Ovis aries: one gene and its partner. The protein of the gene in region 1 binds, or shares a complex with, the protein of each later gene. Links are inferred from orthologs where the notes say so. Each region holds a gene or a part of one and is shown in the gene's direction. Other genes may lie near its edges. The genes, in order: PPP4R4 and PPP4C.

What was found.
Region 2: PPP4R4 (region 1) and PPP4C share a complex: the UniProt entries of both Homo sapiens proteins name them as parts of the PP4 complex. The link is inferred for Ovis aries from reciprocal best matches to the Homo sapiens genes PPP4R4 and PPP4C.

What each region holds. Positions count from the first base shown.
Region 1 is NC_056071.1:56,643,634-56,647,544, forward strand, and holds the start of PPP4R4 (serine/threonine-protein phosphatase 4 regulatory subunit 4), read left to right. Parts: upstream 1-1,225; 5' UTR 1,226-1,350; coding exon 1,351-1,470; intron 1,471-2,963; coding exon 2,964-3,037; intron 3,038-3,911. UniProt on the Homo sapiens protein: Putative regulatory subunit of serine/threonine-protein phosphatase 4.
Region 2 is NC_056077.1:26,718,505-26,721,647, reverse strand, and holds part of PPP4C (serine/threonine-protein phosphatase 4 catalytic subunit), read left to right. Parts: intron 1-1,192; coding exon 1,193-1,244; intron 1,245-1,286; exon of another isoform or gene 1,287-1,451; intron 1,452-2,174; coding exon 2,175-2,225; intron 2,226-2,440; coding exon 2,441-2,542; intron 2,543-3,120; coding exon 3,121-3,143. UniProt on the Homo sapiens protein: Protein phosphatase that is involved in many processes such as microtubule organization at centrosomes, maturation of spliceosomal snRNPs, apoptosis, DNA repair, tumor necrosis factor (TNF)-alpha signaling, activation of c-Jun N-terminal kinase MAPK8, regulation of histone acetylation, DNA damage checkpoint signaling, NF-kappa-B activation and cell migration.

The sequences.
Region 1 (3,911 bases):
CCAGTTTATTATTTAAAGAACTTATAAGTAAAATGTGCTAGATCCCCAATTCAAATACTTTTAAAGGACAGTTAAGGAACTCCTGATATGATAAGCCCCACCAATAGCTCTCTTAGACATTATGTTGAAGGAAAAAAGTACAGAATGAGTTCTTATCACAACAGCATTCATGTATATTCGAAACAGATACTTAAACCAAAAGCACTGTCTTTCGAGGATACATACATGCACTGGGACACATCAAACAAGAGAGAATGCATACAGGAGGCGGGTAGAGAAACGACCGTGGAGAGGGAATGAGTGGAAAATAATAATAAAAAAAAGAGGTCCTGCTGACTCTCGGGCGCTGAAGAGTATGATCAACAAAACTCTTGTCTCTGAGGTCCCCCCAAATTGCCCTAACTTCTCCCATCGCTTCCCACTCGTAACAGAATAAAAATGCAAGCAACTCAACGTCGCTGCCTGGACTCTTCTCCATTAAGGACCTACCTCTCTACCTTGTCAAGCACCCGTTTCCCTGCACTCCAAGCTCTACTTCGCACTTTCTACAACCATATAGACGCTCAGGCTTCAACCCGGAATCCGCTTACTCTAATTTCTCTTGGAAAAATCCTGTTTTAAAATTCAGTTTTAAGTGTCTTCAGGAGTCCTTTTTCTGACGGCTGCCCTCCCTACGTTAACCCCTCCAGGACTGTATTCCCAGATCACCCGTCCCAACAACCTAGCACACCCCAAGTTCTATTTGCTTATTTTTCGTACACAACCCTCCCCCAAGGACAAAGCAGAGTTACCCAGCTCGTGCGCTGGGGTGGGCGGTCCCACGAATAACCGCACCACAATTCCGGCAAGTTAACCAAGATCCCAACCCACCTTCCCCTTTGTTTCCCTCACTTATTGGTTCATCTCCGTCCGGGGTCTACAGACCCCACAGCACCTCCACCGGCTGCAGTAGGTAGGAGGCTCTGCGCATGCACTACAGCAGGCGCGCACTCTGACGGGGGCGGGGCGAAGGGGCGAGGAGGGCGGCGAGGGGACGCGGAGCGGCAGTTGCGTCCGGCCCGCCGGCAGCGGGTGCCCGGGAGGGGGTGGGGCCGAGGCGGGCACCTACCCCGGCACGGCCCCGCCCCCACAGCCCGCCCGCGCGCTTCGCCCCGCCCCCTCGCCTTGGCCGCCCCGCCCCCTCGGCGACCGCGCTCCTTCTCCCGCCGCCAGCTAGCCGCCCGCTAGCCTCCCGCCCGGCTCCGGCGGCGGAGAGCGGGAGAAAGTGTTGCTGGTGGGCGGCCGCGGGGCTGTGAGCGTCCGGCATCCCGGGACCGCTCCGGCCCGGGCAGCGAGGGGGCCCGGCGGTCCATGCATCCGCCGTCGCCCGCCGCCACCGCGATGGATTTCAGTCAGAACAGCCTGTTCGGCTACATGGAGGACCTGCAGGAGCTCACCATCATCGAGAGGCCGGTCCGCCGGAGCCTCAAGGTGCGCCCCGGGGAGGAGGAACTGCCCGCAGGGCGCCCGGCGGCTGGCCCCTGCCCCGACCCCCGCCCGTTCGCTTCACGAGGCGGCCCGGGACCCTCTCAGAGTCCTGCTGCCCGCCCCCGCCCCCCTCAGTCCCCGAGGGCCGTGTTACCCTAACCCGACCCCTCTCGGGCCCCCCTTCTTCGACGCGGCTCGGCTTCTCCCAGCCTGGACCCCCAGCCCTGAGGTACGGGCGCCCGGGACCAGCCCGCGACCCCTCAGACGCTCTGGCTTTTCCAGTTGCCCGTCCCGGCCCTGCCCGCCCCGGGCCCTTTCCCCAACCCGGCCACCTCAGGAACGGCCCGCCGAGCCCCTTCGATTCGGGCCAGCTCGGCGTCCTCTCCCGCGCCGTCCCTCTCTCACGGCCCGGGGCCCCTCCGCCGCGGCCCCCTCCTCCTGGGCCCTGCGGGAGCTGCCCCTCACAGCCGCAGCCCGCTGCCTCCCGCGTCCTCTCCTTGGGGCTCCCCCTCCCCCCGCTTCGGCTCCCTGGTGCTGCTGCTGCCCGGGGTTGTGGACCTAGTCCCAGTCTTCAGTTAACACGGCCCCGACTCTCCTCGCTGCCTTTTCCAGAGATACCTCAGATCCCACTCCGCCCCCCCCTCCCACCTCCGTCCTCATATGAGCAAGCCCAAGGCCCCCACTTCACCTCCCAACCCACCCACACCCATCCTGGAGTCGTCCTGCTCTCCGTCTTCAAAGCCCTCTCGACCCTTTGTCCCGATCCTGAGTCACCACGTGTCCCTTCCTTCCAGCCCCTCCAAGACTCTTAGCAGAGACCCTGCTCCCCAATCCTCAGCCTTCACTAGGCACCCCCCCCCGCCCCGACCTGCCACTAGCTCCCCCACCCCGCAAAGTCATCTTGCTTCCCGAGGCTCCAACCCTTACTGCTGCCAAACCTAGTTGACCGACCACCGACCCCCGCAATTGCACCTTTAGCTCTTTTCGCTCCCACCTGCCGCAATATCTTTGATTTCCTTCCAGCCCCAGAGTTTATTCCATTCCCTCCCCCAATCCAGATTTCGTCTTTCTCATTCTCCCTCCGCTGGCTGCAGTCTTCATCCCCCCCCCCCACCCCTTTTAAGCATTTCCTGGGATGGAAATGCTGGCAAAACACTCTTAGATATTAGAGATGAAAACTACGTACATATTTTACATATGCACATACAATTGATTTCAGCAAGGTTCTGAAGTCACATTGTGTTTCTCAGGCTTCAGTCTAGAAGCTAGAAGAGTAAACAAAAGGGAAAAAAAAGCCCCAGAGCCCCCCCAAACTCCACCACCTAAACCCAACCATTAGAGATATCTGTGATTTGAGGGTGGCAGACCCCTTAATTAGTTTTCAAGGATAATGCTTAATTGCGAAAGTTTTTCATTAGTCTGCACTCGTGGAGGGTCCCTGGAGGCAAGACTTGAGCTGATGCTTGTGTGCATAATTTGTGTTTTACACTTGACAGACACCAGAAGAAATAGAAAGATTGACAGTTGATGAAGACCTCAGTGATATTGAAAGGGCTGTTTATCTGCTCAGGTATTTCGTAAAGTCTTTTTGTGATAATTCCTTCTCTTTTCCTGTGGCAGCATCCACAAATGATTTCTGAAATGTCATGTTACGGTTATGTTAAGATTTACTTAACCACTTGAACAGAGTACTTTGCATGCACAGTACTTAATTATGTCATAAATTAGACTTAGATGTGGGCTTATGAATTTCAGAACTGAAATCAAGTAAGGTACTTAGCTTATAGAATATTGCTTGGAGGAGGAACAGAACAACTCATGATTTGAGTTAAATCTCTTAAAAAAAAATATCTTGCAGCCTTGGTTGTGTTCACATAAGAGCCAGTAAATTTAGATGAATTTAAAGAATATCCAATGATTAATTTTAAGTTAATTTTAGAGTTTGAACTTTATATGGTATTTGCAGAAAAAAATCCGCAAATATGGTAGTTCAATTTTTTTCCTCAGGATAACCTGTTTATATTGCTTTTGCTATGTGTGCTTTATAATTTTGCCTAAGAGATTTTAAAATTTAATTGAGTCTACTCTCAGTTAAGGTTCATCTCATAAGCTCTACAGAATTGCTTACGCCAAATGGTTATGACAAATATTTACAAGATTTCTTTCAGCTATTTTAAAAATTGTGCTGTGGATTTAAGTTTAAAAGCTAATGTGAGCATTTAATGAATATGTAAAAATACTTCAGATATAGGAATTTTCCTAAAGTATTTTGTGTACATTGTTTTAACATTTTTCTTGCACATTTCTTTTTACCCTTTTGGCAACTTAGTTTTCACTTTTGTTTTTTGGAATCAGATTTTGAAAACTGGTACTATTGACCTCCTTGGAATATTTGTTATCCTTGTTTCCTTAGCTCAGGTCTGCTTTGCCAGTTTCAGGTGCTG
Region 2 (3,143 bases), on another chromosome or scaffold:
AGATCTGTTCTCAGTTCCAGCCACCCTCCAGCTTTGTGACCTGGATCCTGCCCCTTTTCTCTCTAAACCTCAGTTTCTTTGTCTGATGAGGATGGGAAGAACCTCCCAAGTCAGTTGGAAAAGTATTGTAAGCAGTGGTGTGAGGATGTTTGGTACAAGATGCAGGACAGGCGGGAGAGCCTGGTTGCTCTCTGGCCCCTTGTATCACCGCCAGTGGCTCTTCCCATTCCTGGAAACCAGGGCACACCTCCCTGGAGCTGCCTTAGTTATGCAGTGCACCCTGAGCCCAGGGAGCTCCTGGTCTGGTGGGAAGGGACTGGCCGAGAGAGTGATGGCTGAGCAGGTGCCTCCCACATCAGACTCGCTTAATAAGAGCCAGACCCCAGAGTAGGCCGCCTTGGTTCAGTTCCTGTCTGTGTGGCCACAGCCGCTTTCTTCATCTGAGCCGTGGGAATCATTATAGCACCTGCCTTTGAGGGTGGTGGTTTGAGTGCCCGCATCATCCATGCAGAACTTTTTTAACGACTGACCTGGCACGTGGTGCGAACTGCTGCGTCCTTGGCTCCTCTGATCGTCAAGGACGAAATCTGGAAGCACAGCGCTACTTAACGTTGGGTGTCCGTAATGGGCAGTGATTTACATGTCAAGCTCGTTCAGGTAGAAGTAGATCACACTGCAAGGAAAGAGGGAGCACAGAGTCCTCGCTTCCTCTGAATGATAGAAGAGTGGCAACAGCATATCGCCTTGAAGGTGGATCTGATGGCTGGCCTGCCCAGGGCACCACCCTTGTGCCCAAGAACATTCCAGGGGAAGAAGGCCCCTGGGGTGGGGAGAGAGGGGCTGTAAGAGCCCAGCCAAGGCACTGTGTGGACAGGAGGAGGAGCTCTTGTCTTCTGGGAGTCGTTGCCAGATGTGTGAAAGGGAGCAGCCAGGAGGGTCAAGGTCAGGAAAGTCCTAGACTCCTTGGGAAGGCCTTGGATGCTGAACAAGAGCTGGGGCTTTGGCCTGTCAACTGTGGGGAACCACAGAAGGGTCTCGAACTTGGGGGCTGTGATTAGCCTTGCCTGGGGGAATTGTACACCTCCCACCTGCCCTATGGAGGTTCACGCCTCATCCTCTCTTCCCCTGCAGAAAAGGTCAGAAATTGGGTTGGGCTGGCCCGGCTCTGGTAACTTTGGTCTTCTGTCTCCAGAGAGATCTTGGTGGAGGAGAGCAACGTGCAGAGGGTGGACTCTCCAGTCACAGTGAGTTCCCGCTGTCCCCCCACAGCCTAGCTCGGTCTGTTAGGCCTGTGGGCGTCCTCCTTAGTCTTGTGGGCTCCAGGGTCTACCCCTCATCCCTGGGAGCCCCATCTTCAAGAGAGCCTTGCTAGAAGAAATGGTGGTTGTGGGCATGGTCTTTGGAGTCACTGGAGGGATGCTCTTGGCCTGGGCAGAAGGACTCTTAATTTGGTGAGTGAGTGAACTCCACGTGTTCCTGTGTGTTACTAGTGACTTTATTCTGGGTGTCTGGAGGGGAGTAGGGAGAGGAGGAGGCCAGGTTCTCTGGGAGCTGCAAGTCTAGCTGGAAAGAATTTGCTCTAGCTCTTGCCCACAGAATAGTTGGCACTCAGAGTGGGATGGGGGGATTGGGGTGGGAGAGGAGATTCTCGACTCTGGGAAGTAGAAGCTTTCAATCCAGGGAAGATCTCCTAGAAGAGGAAATGGTAACAGCTCCATATTCTTAGCTGGAAAATTCCACAGACAGAGGAGCCTGGTGGGCTACAGTCCATGGGGTTGCACAGAGTTGGGCATGGCTGAGCACATACACACACTCTCTCTTGGCTTGGCCGAGATGGATAAGGATCTTCTAAAGCAGGGACTTCCAGGTGGCTCTTGCCCTCTGAGAGGTCCCACATTCTGTCTGTGGAGTGTGTTTCTCTAAATAAATCCATTTCTTACCCGTAAATAAATGAAGCCAGGACTTCCCTGGTGGTCCAGCAGTTAAGACTCTGTGCTTCCACTGCAGGAGTTGTGGGCTTGTGGGTTTAATCCCTGGTGGGAACTAAGATCCCATGTGCCATGCAATGAGGCCAGAATTTTTAAAAAAAATAAAGCAGTAGGGTGTTTTTGAAGGACAGCCCCTGGCAGAAAGGCTTTCAGACTCTGAGTTCTGACCTGCCTCCTCACTTCCAGGTATGTGGTGACATCCATGGACAATTCTATGACCTCAAGGAGCTGTTCAGAGTGAGTGTGGGGAATGCCAGGAAAGGTGACCCAGGGGATGACTGCAAGACCCCTTTAGTTGAGAGTGGAGACTTTGGTGATGGGGTTGGGGGTCAGAGGCCTCTAGTTAGGTAGGCCCATTGTGGAAGAAGGGCCTCGACTTGACTGGAAATGGGCCGGTGCAGTGGGTTGGGGCGAGTTTAGGACCAAGCTGAACCTTCTTCCTCCCTCCCCAGGTGGGTGGCGATGTCCCTGAGACTAACTACCTCTTCATGGGGGACTTTGTGGATCGTGGTTTCTACAGTGTCGAAACGTTTCTCCTGCTGCTGGCACTTAAGGTGGGAACCCGCTGGCTTCTGGAGCCAAGACCTGGTCTGATTTGGCCTGCATCCTTTCTGCCCTCATTTCCTGCCCCATCTGCCCCCAAGTCTTGAGCTGTGCTGCTGGTGATAGACCGTTGCTGCTTGGGTGGTCAGGCAGCTTTCCTTGACTTGGGGGCATCTGATGAGGTCGAGGTGGGGACGGCATCATAGCGGGAAGGAAGAGAGGCTCACCCTGTTCAGAAAGTGGCCCGAGTGGAGTTCAGCTGGATACAGTATCCATTGGTAGGAGAGAGGTCGTAAGAGGCCAGATAACAAGGTGCTCTAAATGTCTTGCTAAGGGCTTGGTCCATACCTGGTGGATGAAGGAGGGACGGTTAGGTTTGTAGTTGAAGTGGGGGGTGGGAGGGAGTGAGAGGATTTGGCTTTGGATCCTCTGGAGGTGGGTCGGGGTGCCCGTGAGGTGAGTGTGGCACGATCCGGGCAGAGATGACTGGAATCTGGACTGGGGCGGTGGTGACGAGGGTGGAGCAGGGCTGGCAGACACGAGGACGTCGAGGAGGGAGGGACAGGCCCTGCATGGTGACTGCCTGCAGGTTCGCTATCCTGACCGCATCAC